2 linked regions of the Diceros bicornis minor genome follow. Each later gene encodes a partner of the first gene's protein in a complex. Links are inferred from orthologs where the notes say so. Each region holds a gene or a part of one and is shown on either strand. Other genes may lie near its edges.

Region 1 (6,842 bases):
CCGAAGGACTCCTCCTGGCATCCTGAGCTGCCTAAACCCACATTAGCTCATGCCGTTTGCTTCTCTCCCAGAGCTGGCAGGCACTGTGGAATCACAGAAAAATCACCAGAAGAGAAGATGGCCTAAATTCTTATCTGACCCTGACACTCACTAGCCACATCACCCGAGCAAGGCCATTTTAATGATCCTGGGCCTCCGTTTCCTTACTTGTAAAGTGGGGGAAAGAGATGCACCACATTAGTGATTTTCTTTTTCTTTCTTTACTTTTGCTGAGGAAGATTGGCCCTGAGCTAACATCTGTGCCAATCTTCCTCTATTTTGTATGTGGGTCACTGCCACAGCATGGCCACCGACGAGTGGTGTGGGTCTGTACCCGGGAACTGAACCCAGGCTGCCAAAGTGGAGCACGCCAAACTTAACCACTAGGCCACGGGGCCGGCCCCACATTAGTGATTTTCACACTGTGAAAATCAGTGGTTAAGTTTGGCATGCTCTGCCAGAGGCACCTCACAAATTCTGCAAGGGTCTGAGTGGAATTTCATTTTTAACAACTTTAACCATTTTCAAAATTGCATCTTATAAAAAGAAAGCATAATGACAGAAATGACCAGTGGGTTCACTTGGGCTGCTGGAGAAGCATGTTCATCCTGCAGCTCTGCCCTCCTGCTGGGCTTCTCTCCCAATGGAGTCAGGGTTCAACGCGGCCCGGCCAGTTTGTGCACATCAAACTGTACCAGCGAGGCCACCACGGCACCACAGGTGCCTCGTGCTTGACGGCGTGCCAGGCAGAGCTCAGGAGATTTGCCAACTTTTTCTCCTCTGAGGGAAAAAGCTAGGCAATAACTAGAAAATGTACAATCCCTCGACTTGTGATGAAGTCCTATCATGGAGAGCTTTAACTTCCGGTGTGAGTTTGGGGTGTTCTTTTTTACCCCTGAATTTTCTGTTTACCAGCAACGTAAGCATTTATTAGATATTGCTGGTGACTCAGCTTTGAAACATAAATTTCCTCTCCTTTCTTTTCCTCTTCTTTCAAACCTGAACAGCAGTTTAGTGAAAGAATAGTCAAAAATGCCAGAGTATTTTTCCTCCCTCAAGCTTACCTTTGGGGTGAATCAGGAGTTTCTCAATGTGAGGCCTGCAGGCAGGTGTTTCTCCCCAGGCTCACAGAGGAGAGCCGGTTATGAACACAGCCTCCACTTAAAATGAGTGTAATCAATAAAATAGCCCCCTTGTTCTCACTGGTTGGCTTTAGAGGTATGTGTTATACATTTGGATTTAGAAATTTACACGGATAAAATGTTCCTTTTATCTGTTTTATATATCGGGGCCCCAGATGGGGTTTCCATTGGGGAAGAAGGAGTGAATTAATAAAGAGGTTGAAAACCACTGGAGTAGAAGAGATCTAGGCCCCTCTGGGTTTGTACATCAATCACTCCTTAAAGCCGCTTATCAAGGGTAGTTTTCCACCACTTGCCTCAGAATCACTTGGGGAGGTTTGCTAAGAAGTTCCTGGGTACGCTGGAGACCTGCTAAATCTGAATCCCTGGGGGGTGGGAGGAGGGCTGGAAATTGTATTTTAATAGCCCGTCTCCCCTCCCCCACCGTCTTTTGGGCGGCGCTGGGCACTGAGAGGCGATGGAGTAAGGAGGACCCCGGAGGGCGCTGGAGGGCTCTCCAGGCCCGGGCTGCTGGGGGCGCCGCAGTACCTTTGACGTGCAGCTGCACGGCACTGAGCGTCTGCCCTGCCGAGTTGCGCGCGGCGCACACGTAGAGCCCGCGGTCCTTGGCCTGGCAGTAGAGCACCTTGAGCACGAAGCCGCCGTCGCGGTCGCGGTACATGAGGCGGCGGCGATCGGGGAGCAGCGGGCGGCCCTCCCAGTGCCATTCGATCTCGGGCTCGGGCTTGCCCATCACGTAGCAGCGGAACTTGGCGTGCTTGCCCTCGTTCACCCAGAAGGTCTTGGGCGCACACTTGAGCGGCTCCACCACCGGCGGGGGCGCCTCGTCGGGGTCCTCGGGGGGGCTCTCGGGGGGCTGGTGCACCTGGAGCAGCGCGCCGGCCTGCGCATGGCCGTGCGCGTTGCGGGCGTGGCACACGTACACGCCCGAGTCGGGCAGCCGCGCCGCCAGGATGCGAAGCGCCAGGCTCGCGCCCGGGCCACCCTCGGCGCGGCGCGGCTCGAGCGCGAAGTGGCCGCTGTCCCACACTTCGTCCAGGGCCATCCCGTCCTTCTCCCAGTACAGCGTGGGCGCGGGGAGGCCCCCCACCTGGCACGTCAGCACCACCTCCGCCCCCCGCAGCACCCACTGGGACCGGGGCCCGGTCAGGAACACCGGGGCGCCCTCTCCAGCCCCGGGCGGCGGCAGCGGGCGCTCGGCGGGCTGGGGCTCGGGCTCGGGGGCCGGCGGCTCCAGCACGGTGACGGCGGCCGCCGCGTAGGCCTCCCCGGCCGCGTTGCGGGCGCGGCACACGTAGACCCCCCCATCGGTGGGCCGCGCGCCGCTCAGCAGCAGGCCGTGCTCGGCGCCATCCGCCGGGAAGCTCAGGCGCTCCGAGGCCACCAGCGGCTGCCCGCCCTTCTCCCACACGACGGTGGGCGGCGGCTCCCCCAGCACCACGCACTTGAGCTCGGCCTCGGCGCCACTTACCACCCGCACGGGCCGCGGGAAGCGCAGGAAGCACGGGGGGCTCCCCTGATCCCCCGAGCCCGCCTTCATCGCGCCGGCCGCAGACGGCCCCGCGGCGCGGGGGCAGCGCGGGCGGCCTGCGGGCGCGCGGAGGCCCGGAGCGGCGGCGGGAGCCCGGGAGGCGGGGCGGATCTGGGGACGGGGCGCGGGGAGCCGCCGAGCTCTCCCGGGGCCGCCCGCTCCCGGCTCGCCTCCTTACCCTGGGCCCGGAGCTGCAGCTCTGCGGCGGCGGCGATCCCGGGCCCGGAGCGCGCAGCTCAGGGGGCAGTCCTTCCTGTTTGCCTTTACGGCGAGGGGCCCCGCAGCCTCCCCTGCCCGCGGCCTGGCTTCCTGCTCCCGAGAGCCTCCCTTCCCAGCCCCCTCCCCCAGCCTGGGCCTCTTTCCCCTCCTCCTTCCCCCCTCCAGCCGCCAGGTCCCCAGCCGCCCGCCAGGCTTGGGCCTGAGTGGCAGAGTCGCCTGCAGCTGCCAATCCCAAAAATATTCTCTGATGACACAGCTGGAGGACAAGAGCCCGGGCTGGCTCCTCCAGGCTAAGTATAGAGCAGGCGGGACCACCTGCCCCCCGCCCTAGCCCCAGTTCTAGCCCCAGCCTCAGCCCTTCCCCCAGGACTGGTCCAGCAGCTGCTTGGGTGAAAGGGGCCCCAGAAGGTCTGAGGGGCTGGCACATTCTGTCTTCCCGACAAATAACCCTCTTAGGAGCTGACAGACCCCAGCTGCCAGGCTCCTGTCACACCTGATGTCACCTCTGTGCTGGGTGCTCCGATGTGACTGGCAGTGTGTGTGTGTGTGTGTGTGTGTGTGGAGTGAGTGTGTGTAGGGGGAAGGCTTGTCTGTGTGGGTCAGGTCACTTGGGGTGAAAACCCTCACCAGCCCCCTCCCCCACATTCCTGGCGGGAGTGGGAGATAAGGCTCAGGGCCACAGACATCTGCGTCAGAGATAGGAGGTCTCAATGCCACGGGCAGGGGCAACTCGGACTGCAGGGTGTGGGAAGGGCTGGGGAAGACCCAGGGAGAAGGGTAGAAGAGGGCGGGTGGTGGGATGGGGAGTGGGGAGGCCCTGGGCAGACCCTGACTGAAGGGGCGCAGGGCAGGGAGTGGGGTCACTGTTGGCAGGCCCAGGTGAGCGATGGTGTCCCAGCCGCCACTGCTGTTCCTCTTGCTCCTGGTTCCACAGGCTGGGCATGGCTGCCAGGGGTCACAGCTGGACCGGGAAATTGTCCTGGCCAAGGTGAGGGCCCTGTTCCTGGACGCCTTGGGGCCCCCGGCAGTGATCGGGGAAGGTGGGGATCCTGGAGTCAGGCGTTTGCCCCGAAGACATGCCTTGGGAGGCTCCGTGCGGAGGGCCTCTGAGCCCGAGGAGGAGGATGTATCCCAGGCCATCCTTTTCCCAGCTTCAGGTAACGAGGGCGGGGATCTTGGAGGGCGACTTTGAGAAGCAGCATGGTTCAGTGTGGGCTTGGAAGCCAGGGTGGTCTCACTCAACTGGCTTTGCAACAATGGGCCAGTTACTAAACCTCCCTGACCCTCTGTGTCTTCATCTGTAACATGGGCAATAATGCCTACCTCTCAGGATTAAGTGAGATGGTGTATCTAGAGTGCATGGCACATAGGAGGCATTGGGAGATATTCGTCTGGGAGACCAAAAGTCCCTAGAGACGGAGATATCTGGGCATGAGCCCCCTCTTGCCACCTTCCCTTCTTTCTCTGCCTCTGCTCCCTGCTCCAAACCTTGTTCCTTTAGCCCCAAGTAGCTGAGACTTGAGAGATATCAGAGATGTAGGAGAAAGAGCAGTTGGGAAACTTTTCTGGGAAACCGGTCCATCTTCTCTTGAATTCCCTTCTCATCTCCCTGTGTGTGTCCCCATGTTCCATGGACCGAACCAATAAAGCCCTCCTCTGGATCTACTTTCTTGTAATCTGTCCCACCTTTCCCTTAGAGAGGACCGGCTGCCTCCCTGCTCATCACTCCCCGTGCAGCACAGTCAGTCAAAGTGTGGCTTTGGGATCAGGCAGAGTCCCAGCCTGGCCGCTTAAGTTAAATGTCACTCACCTTTCTAACCCTCAGTTTCCATATCTGCAAAATGGATCGGTTGTTGTGAGGTTTATAATAGATAAAGATAATCCAGGTAACACTATAGCTCTAACCGCCAGTCCTATTGGTGCTGATCCATGATGGTTCACTGTGGTCCATGTACCCATCAGGGTCAGGATGCCAGCTGCACTTTCTTAGAACGTGCTGCCCTCTATCCTGAGCTATAGTCTCTCTTCTCCTCTTTCTTCTTTTTGGTGTTAACCTGTCTTTTTAAAGTGGAATTATTATTTTTTCTAATTAAATTTTTTATTGCAGTAACATTGGGTTATAACATTATATAAATTTCAGGTGTGCATCATTATATTTCAATTTCTGTTTAGACTACATTGTGTTCACCACCAAAATCCTAGTTGCCATCCATTAAAAGTGGAATTATTTTAAAGAATTTATCATGCACTATTTTTTTTTTATTTTGGTGAGGAAGACTAGCCCTGAGCTAACATCCATGCCAATCCTCCTCTTTTTGCTGAGGAAGATTGGCCCTGGGCTAACATCCATGCCCATCTTCCTCTGCTTTATATGGGACGCCGCCACAGCATGGCTTGACAAGCGGGGCATTGGTGCGCGACTGGGATCCGAACCTGTGAACCCTGGGCCGCTGAAGCAGAGCACACGCACTTAACCGCTGCACCACCAGGCCGGCCCCTATCAGGCACTATTTCTAACATGTAAAAAGATATAAAGAGTAACACAACAAATGCCTGTGTACAGACCCTTCAAGGTACCATTTCACACTACCAGATGAAGAAAAATTTAAGTCTAACGAACAATTCCAAGTGTTGGTGAAGGTAGAGAGCGGCAGGGCCTCTGACACACGGCTGATGGGAATATTAATTGGTAAAACCACTTCAGAGAGAAGTTGGCAACATCTTGTATTTTTTAAGTCCTTTAATGATGAGATAATAAATGGGGAGCCTCTGTCAGTTCTCCCAAGACTGGAGGGAGGCCCCAAGTTGGCAGAGCACTCAATGGAGTGGTTGGCAGGCTCATGAACGGCAGCCACATCCCTTCTGTCGAGGAGGAAGGCTCCCCAGTCTGCCAGTCAGGCCTGCCCTCTCCCTTCCCTCTGTCTCCTGTAGGTGCCAGATGTGAGGATATGCCAGCTGCTGGTGAGTGGGCCCAGGAGGCTGAAGAGGGCCTCTTCACGTATGTGTTCCGGCCGTCCCAGCACACACGCAGCCGCCAGGTGACTTCGGCCCAGCTGTGGTTCCACACCGGACTGGACAGGCAGGGCACAGCAGCCTCTAATAGCTCTGGGCCCCTGCTAGGCCTGCTGGCACTGTCATCCGGGAGTCCCATGGCTGTGCCCATGTCACTGGGCCAGGCACCCCCTCGCTGGGCTGTGCTGCACCTGGCCGCCTCGGCCCTTCCTCTGCTGACCCGCCCTGTCCTGGTGCTGCTGCTGCGTTGTCCTCTCTGTTCCTGCTCAGCCCGGCCTGAGGCCACACCCTTCCTGGTGGCCCACACACGGGCCAGGCCGCCCAGTGGAGGGGAGAGAGCCCGGCGCTCGACTCCTCCACTGCCCTGGCCGTGGTCTCCCGCCGCGCTGCGCCTGCTCCAGAGGCCTCCAGAGGAACCGGCTGCCCACGCCAACTGCCACCGAGCGGCTCTCAACATCTCCTTCCAGGAACTGGGCTGGGACCGGTGGATCGTGCACCCTCCCAGTTTCATCTTCCACTATTGTCACGGTGGCTGCGGGCTGCCTGCCCCACCAGACCTGCCCCTGCCGGTCCCTGGGGTTTCCCCCACCCCTGTCCAGCCCCTTTCTTTGGTGCCAGGGGCCCAGGCCTGCTGTGCCTCTCTTCCGGGGACCATGAGACCCCTACGTGTCCGCACCACCTCGGATGGAGGTTACTCCTTCAAGTACGAGATGGTGCCCAACCTTCTCACACAACACTGTGCTTGCATCTAAGAGAGTTCTGCGGGGGGCCAAGCCCCCACCATCAGCTGGGAGGAAGGGCAGAGTTCGGGAGATTGATGGTTTCTACTTCCCCCTTCCTCCCACTTCTCTGCCTGAAGGCTCCTCCCCCGTCCCACCGCTGTCCCATGGGTAACATGT
Region 2 (7,587 bases), on another chromosome or scaffold:
CCCACGGGGCCTTAGCAACCCGATCTCTCCCCATGGCAAGCACCAGTCACAGGACCCTACACAGTGCTACACCACAACCCGCCTTGGGGGCCTGTTCCCATTGCAATGATTTTCAACATGTCCAGGGGCCAAGATGCCCCAGATGTTTGTGGGGCGTGATCAACAGAGATTCTAGGGCTGCACAGCCAGCTCAAGCAAATCCACAGCTCTGGCATGAAGGGCCCCAGAATCTGCATTTTGGACATGTTTCCGGAATGCTTCTTCTGTACCTGGGAATCAGGGTCGGGTGAGGTGTGTGAACCGCAGACCCCAGACTCCTAGCCGGCAGAACCCAGGGGCGTGGGGATGGCTGGCAGAGTGTCAGCATCATGGAGAGTGGGAGTAGACACGACACCAGGGCGTGACCAAAGCACCCCGGAGGTTTCTTCAGTGGCCAGGTCCGAAGTCAAGAAGTCAGTTTGTAAATGTTTTTATTTGCAAGTTGGCTTGTGCCAAGTTCAAGGAGCATTTCTCCCCCACCTCTGTCCCTTTTCCAAGCTGAGCACCTAGGGTTGCATTTGAGGAAGTTAAAAACGTGGGCGATGCAACCCCATTGGGTGGGTTTCTTTCTTTACATTCTTTGGATTACTACAGGAGTCTGTACTTAAAAAATCAACACATGAAAGATAAAACTTGAACAAGAAAAGAAAGGGGAGTGTTGGGTGGAGATGTGAGGGGCGCTGTCTGCCCCTCTCCCCACCTCCATCTTCAAGCGTGGAGGCAGAGAGAGCATCTCTGACAAGCGTGCGAGAGGCAGGTGGTGGGGTGCCCCGCGGCCCCCCGCCCTCACCTCACAGCTGGTCTTCTTGTTCTCCCTGCTCTGCTTCTGCTCTGGCCTCGGCCCTCAGCACCCTGAGGTGCCTGGCCTCGCCTGCCCTGGGGACTCGCTTGGGCAGGGCTGGCAATCGGGGAGTGTGCCAGAAGGCTCTCCGGTGCTTTCGAAACCATGAAAAGCGTCCGGGGGTCTGGAACCTCACTGTCTTGACCTGTTTCCGGGTCCTGGCTCCTGAGGTTGCCCCCGTGGCCCCCCGGGCAGCTGAGGCTTCAGCTTCCTGGATGGCTGGGGCCTCTGCCCTCTGGTCAGCTATGGCCTCTGCCCCATTAGATGCAGCCTGTGCTCCCTGGACAGCTGGGGCCCCTGCCCTCTGATTATCTGCAACCTCTGCCCTCCGGCCAGCTGGGCCCCCTGCCCTCTGATTATCTGCAACCTCTGCCCTCTGGACAGCTGGGCCCCCTGCCCTCTGATTATCTGCAACCTCTGCCCTCTGGACAGCTGGGGCCCCTGCCCTCTGATTATCTGCAACCTCTGCCCTCTGGACAGCTGGGGCCTCTGCTCTCTGGACACCTATGGCCCCCGCCCTCTGATTAGCTGCAGCCTCCGCCCTCTGATTATCTGCAGCCTCCGCCCTCTGATCCTCTGCAGCCTCCGCCACCTGAGCTGTGGATGCGGCTGCCTCTCTCCTGCGCCGCCGGAACGAGGCCCAGTTCATCTTGGGCCTCCATCGCCTTGGGGGGGTCCCAGGCACCCGCCCGTCTCCCGCGCTCCCCACGTGATGGGCGCTGCCCAGCGCCGCTGCCCCCTCCCTCTCCACCCTGGCTGAGGCCTGCTGGGCCTCGCCCACCCCGGGGCTGGACCTGGGCGCCCAACACTTCACCCTGTGCTTCAGGTTCCCCCAGGACACCTGGCTGACATACTCCCGCCACCTGTCCGCCTTGGACAGCTGGGGCTCCGGGCTGTTGTCGAACACGGGCACGGGCAGGGCCACGCGGCGGCGGGGTGGTGGGGCGCTGGGCTTCTTGTCCCCTCGCCGGAGGAAGGCCTCCACCAGCTCCTCGTCCTCCTCGCTCTCCAGGTCGCTCCCGAGGAATTTGCTGCCCAGGTAGCTGACGGGCATTCTGCGCACCCTCCTGCGGCATCCCGGGCTTTTGGGGCCCTGGTCACCCTTGTCCCTGGAGGTCTCGAAGTCACTGAACTCGCTGTCGCTGGCGTTACTGCTGTCGTAGGTGCCCACGACCAGCCTGGGGGGCGGGGTCACCATCTGCTGGACTCTCCTCCCTCGGGGCTCCTTCGGCTTTGGGGGGGGCTGGGGTGGGTGCGGGGTGCTCTTCTCAATGATGCGGGCCACGTCCTCGAGGGTGCGGCCTTCTTCCTCCAGAAACTGGGTCAGCCGCTCCCGGAATTCCGCCTCCTTGGTGGCGGGCTTGGAGATGACCCTCCAGACGCCCCCGGCCAGCCTGACCTCCCGGGGGATGAGCAGATAGTCCACGTCCTCCCCAATCTGGAGCATCCCCACTGTGGAGTCCTCCTCCCTGCGGAACACCTTGCCGATCTTCTTAAAGGTCCCCACGGGCTTCAAGGCGTCCACGAGGACGTCCAAATCCACGTCTTTGCAGACATCGGGGACGCTCCAGAGAATCAGGCAGTCGGGGGAGGGGAGGAAGCCCCAAGGGAACCAGCCCCCCACATGGCTCTTCTCGAGGGTCTTTAAGATCTCCAGGGTGAAATATGGGGTGGGGGCCACGAGCCCAAACTACACGAAGCCCCTAGTCTTGGGGGTGGGAGTGAGGTCCCAGCAGAGCAGCCTGGAAAGTCTCGCCTCCCCAGCCAGGGATGAACCAACACTTCCCAATTTCTCTGCCTGCAGCCAGTCCGGTCTTGACCAAGTCTGGCTCCCCCCAAGGGCTGGTGGGAATCGATTCCCAGGACGCTTACGTGAGCCGGGGTGAGGTCAGTCCTGAGCTCCAAGCCCACCGCGAGCTGCCAACGTGGTGGGGCGCACGGGCTGCCCGTGGCTCTTCCTGCCCCGGGCACCAGGGACGCGCCTGGAACTTGGGAGAGGACTTTGCAGACAAAGACGGCTGGCTATTCAATATGGCCGAAGCACTTGGAGGCCGCAGCCCAGCCCCCAGGAGGGTCTCCCGCCCCTAGACAGGCTGCCACCCCCGGCCAGGCTGACCTTCAGGCGCGTCCCGCCTCCCAGCCCGCGCGCTCAGTGCCGAGGAGCGCGCGCGGGCAGGAAGTTCCTCCTCGCCCTTCTCCAACGAGGCCCACCTTCCCCCTTCTCAGCTTACACTCCTGACTCGGGAAGACTGACAGGGGGGCTGTCCACTCCCTTCGGGGCGCCCTCACTCCCCTCCCGCACAGGGGTGTGGCCGCGCCCCGGACCTCGCTGGGGCCACCGCTTCCAAGCGGAACGCGCTCCGAGGCCCACGTCAGCACCTTTCCCGACACAGACCGTCGTTTCTCATCCTTTCCCAAACCTGCCACCCTAAACGTGCGGGTTCCAGCCAAGCGCCGGAGGTGGGTGTGCTAATAAGGCCGTCCTTTTGAAGGCCATACACGCTACATATTACCACTTAAAATCGCGTGACTTCTGGTACCCGCAATTCCTATGTACCTACCCCATACATTTGGGGGGAGAAATTGGTACCAGGGTCTTAGTGCACCAGCCCCTAGTGTGGGGCTTGGCACAAGTTCGTGCTCAATAAATATTTTTGAGCCAATGAATGAACCTAATTGTTCATGGGGGGGGCTGATTCAATTTTATGGTCTAATCTGATAGTGAAATACTACGCAGCTATGAAAAAGAAGGCTAGTCATGTTTTACAGGGCACTTCCATGTCCTAGGCACCATTCTAAGAGCTTTCTATGAATTAACTCATGAAATCCTCCCCCTAACCTTATGAGACAGGTAATATGTTGATCCTTCCCGTTTTATAGCTGAGGATATAAAATCATTTGCTCAAGGTCACACGGCCAAGGAGGATGGAATCTGGATTTGAATCTGAAACAGTCTGTGTGTGTGTGTGTGTGTGTGTGTAGGGCCTAGGTGTGCACATGTGCTTGTCACATGTACAGGCACTGCCCACAGTGGCTGTTTCTGGGAAGGGGACTGCGGACTCCCAGAGGCGGCAGAGACATATGCTTTCCACTCTATATTCTTTTGCATTGCTTGGATTTTTAGCAATCAAAAATGTTAATTCACATAAATTAAACGAAAAGCCCTCAGACTCAGCCACAGATATAGCAGGTCAGGATCTCTAAGACATGGGACCAGAGTTTGCAAAACTTCCCAGGTGACTCTGAGGCAGCCAGCTCAGCAAAGACATGCACAACAACAAAGGCAGGGGCCGGCTGGGTGGCGCAAGCGGTTAAGTGCGCCCGCTCCGATGCGGCGGCCCGGGGTTCCCGGGCCGGATCCCAGGCGCGCACCTACGCACTGCTTGGCAAGCCATGCTGTGGCAGCGTCCCATATAAAGTAGAGGAAGATGGGCACGGATGTTAGCCCAGGGCCAGTCATCCTCCGCAAAAAAAAAAGAGGAAGAGGAGGAGGATTGGAGGATTGGCAGATGTTGGCAGATGTTAGCACAGGGCTGATCTCCCCACAAAAAAACCAACAACAACAAAGGCAAGAGTAAGAGTAATAATAACAGTTAACTTGCACAGAGGGTTTCCTTGGAACCAGACATCCTGCGATGTGCTGAACAGTCCTGTTGTTATGAATCCTCAGAGATAGAGGGTAAGGTGCCCTTCACTCTCATCTTACATCATCCCCAACCCAGCAGCTAGAGGGATCGTTCAAAAACTTAAGTCAGATCTGTCTCTACTCTTTTTAAAATCCTCCATCGCACTCAGAGTAAAGCCAAAGTCTTCACCATGGTCCACGAAGCCCTACAAGATCTCGCCACTTCCCTCTCTCTTCCTCTCCTCGCTCACTCCACTCCAGCCACACCTGCCTCGTCTTCGCTGTTCCTGCAACACACTAGGCTTGTCCCCCACCTCAGGGCCTTTGCACATGCTGTTCCCTCCACGCAGAAATGTTCTGCCGCATCGCCTCTTGGCAATCTCTCTCTGCTCCAATCTCACCTTTTTAGAGAGGTCATTCTGCCTCCCTTTTCCCCGCTAAACTCAAAGAGTGGCCTCCACCCTCTCCAGGGCCCTCTAGCCCAGGAATCCTTAACCCTTTCTGTGCCATGAGCCCTTTCCAGGGTAGTTTTTAAATGCCAATTATAGTGAAATACAACTGTTAAAAGAAAAATTCCAACCACCACAACAAAACAGGTACACTGATGACTTTAATATAAGGGATGAAAATGAACACGTATAATTTTGTTTAACTCACGCTGTGTGGTTTTATTTAACTCCTGAAGGAACCAGGCAGATGTTTAGAGACAGAGGGATGGGAGACAAAAGAAAGGGAAGGGAAAGAGGAAAAGAAGGAAGGGAGATGCTTGGGGGGTGAGGGGCGGTTAAGGCCTCAGGGAGGCCTTTGCACAATTATCGGCTCATTCGGGTTGTTTTCGTTTTTGCAGAGCTGGGCCGTCAGGCTTCACTGGATTTTCTCCTCCTCCTTCTCAAGGCGCCGTCCCAGCCCCCGCACTCAGCTCCCGCGGGGCCTCCCGCCACCCGGCCCCTCCCTGATGCGCGGTTTCTCGCCCCGCCTCCTAACCGTCTCCATGGCAACGAGGAGACGCGTTGCTAGGCGCGAGTCCTCTCTGAGACTGCGGGGCGCTGGCGGAGGGCGGGGGCGGGACAGAGCCTCTTATCGGCTTCTTATCCCTTGCTTCCGCCTGATCCCCAAAATCTGCTTCCCTGAACAGCTGCTTCGCAGAGGCCCCAAACTAAAAGTCCCTAGGACACCCGTTTGAGAAATTCTGGCTAAAGAATCCAGGTCTGAGAAATAAAGACACCACCTCCCAAGCAGGAAAGACCTCCCAGATGAGATATTGGTAAAAGGATTTTTTTTTTTTTGGTGGGAGAAGGAAGGATTATCCTAGAAATGAAAACCTCAAATGTTCAACATGCTCATAAAAATTGCCAACCCCTGAGCAGTTCCGCTGGGGGTGTTTGAGATTCCCAGATCGCTGGCGGGCAAGATCTTTCTCTAGCCGTCCTAGGAAAAAAAAACCACGATAATTACACCTCCTGCTTTTCTATTTGTTTAAAAGAAACGAAAAATCAGAAAAGATTGAGGGAAGAAAACAAAACTTGGCCCTAATCTCTCTACCCAGCTCCACTTGGTTGCCATTTTAAACAATAATAATAATAATAAAAGTGATGCACACATATGCGAAGAAAATGCTTAAGTTACAGAAAGGTGTACAATGAAAAACGTCTCCCTCCCCCAGCGGCAAGTCCCCAGCCTCTCCCGCTAAAGTAGCCACAGTTAAATATCTCTCAGGGAAAAAACAAATGCTTACATTAGTATATTTTAGTAACTTTAGAATTTACCCCCTGGGGATTTTTCACATCATTCTGAATTATTTTCATCACAGTACTTATCACTTCCTGGTATTTTCTTATTTATTTATTGTCTCTCCCTGTTAGAGCATTAGCCCCACCAAGGCAGAGATATTTGTCTGGTTTGGCTCACCGCTGAATTCTCAGCGTCTAGAACAGCATGGGTAGGTGCTCAAAATATTTGATGAATGAATGAGGGGCTTGCACTAGATCTATTGCTAGAAAACTTGCTTTTTTCCCTGAATAGCATGTCTTGAAGTCTTTCTGAATCAGTGCATGCAGATCCATCGCAGTTTTCTTTTTCCGTGACAGCTTGCACCTTTGTGTGTGTCCACAAGCCTGGAACGTCATAACACTGATGATAATTCACTTTTATTGAGCATCTACTTTGCCCCTGCCCCTGTGCATTTTCTCTTTTAATCCATACACCCCCTCCTGAGCAAGTGTTATTCCCATTTTCCGGATGAGAAACACTGAGGCCAAAGAAGGTCACACAGCCAGGAAATGGCAGAGCCAAGCTTTGACTCACTCGGGTTCCCTAGATTCCAACCCCACCCTTGGAAGCCTCCTTTATTTGCCCAGTTGCCTGAGGTGGGGTGGAGTGGGGAGCAAGGTGGGTGGGCAGTCCCCGAAGTCTTCTCTCCCAGGTGACACTTGTAACCTTGGCACAGTCACCAGATTTGTCCTCAGTCTTCAACATCCAGAAATCAGATCCCTGTCTAGAATGGACAGGATATAAATTGTCCCCACCTCTGGACCAGATACCAGAAGGTTAATTGACAGCACACAGTAGGTCCTCAGCAAATACAGCAGGAAGCAGCACTGTGGTCTACACTCTGCCATATAGTTGGGTCACCCCTGCCCGCCTCCCCGCCCCATCCCAAATCTGAAGGCTGTTTGTTGAGTATGGAGGCAAAGCCAGCAATTAGAGGAGCCATGTATTTGAGGACATCATTCATTCATTCATTCATTCACGTGGCGCATTTCTCTAAAGTCATGATTCTCAAAACAGTTGCACATTAGAATCACTGGAGAGAATTCTAGAAATTAGTTTCCAGAGTCCAACCTACAGGATCAGAACATCTTAGGGTGGGGGATGGGGTACTGCATTAAAAAAAAAATCTCCCCTGGGCTGGCCCGATGGTGTAGTGGTTAAGTTCATGCACTCCGCTTTGGTGGCCCAGGGTATGTGGGTTTGAATCTCGAGCATGGACTTACACACCGCTCATCAAGCCTTGCCATGGCAGCGTCCCACATACAAAATAGAGGAAGACTGGCACAGATGTTAGCTCAGGGCCAATCTTCCT

What was found. The genes of interacting proteins can lie anywhere in the genome.
Region 2: OBSL1 (region 1) and CCDC8 share a complex: the UniProt entries of both Homo sapiens proteins name them as parts of the 3M complex. The link is inferred for Diceros bicornis minor from reciprocal best matches to the Homo sapiens genes OBSL1 and CCDC8.

The regions. Positions count from the first base shown.
Region 1 is NC_080776.1:9,826,240-9,833,081, forward strand, and holds the start of OBSL1 (obscurin-like protein 1), read right to left. Parts: upstream 3,013-6,842; 5' UTR 2,722-3,012; coding exon 1,710-2,721; intron 1-1,709. Other genes in the region: INHA (inhibin alpha chain), read left to right, coding at 3,818-4,088, 5,863-6,695. UniProt on the Homo sapiens protein: Core component of the 3M complex, a complex required to regulate microtubule dynamics and genome integrity. It is unclear how the 3M complex regulates microtubules, it could act by controlling the level of a microtubule stabilizer.
Region 2 is NC_080773.1:21,981,504-21,989,090, forward strand, and holds the start of CCDC8 (coiled-coil domain-containing protein 8), read right to left. Parts: upstream 3,009-7,587; 5' UTR 2,328-3,008; coding exon 831-2,327; 3' UTR 1-830. UniProt on the Homo sapiens protein: Core component of the 3M complex, a complex required to regulate microtubule dynamics and genome integrity. It is unclear how the 3M complex regulates microtubules, it could act by controlling the level of a microtubule stabilizer.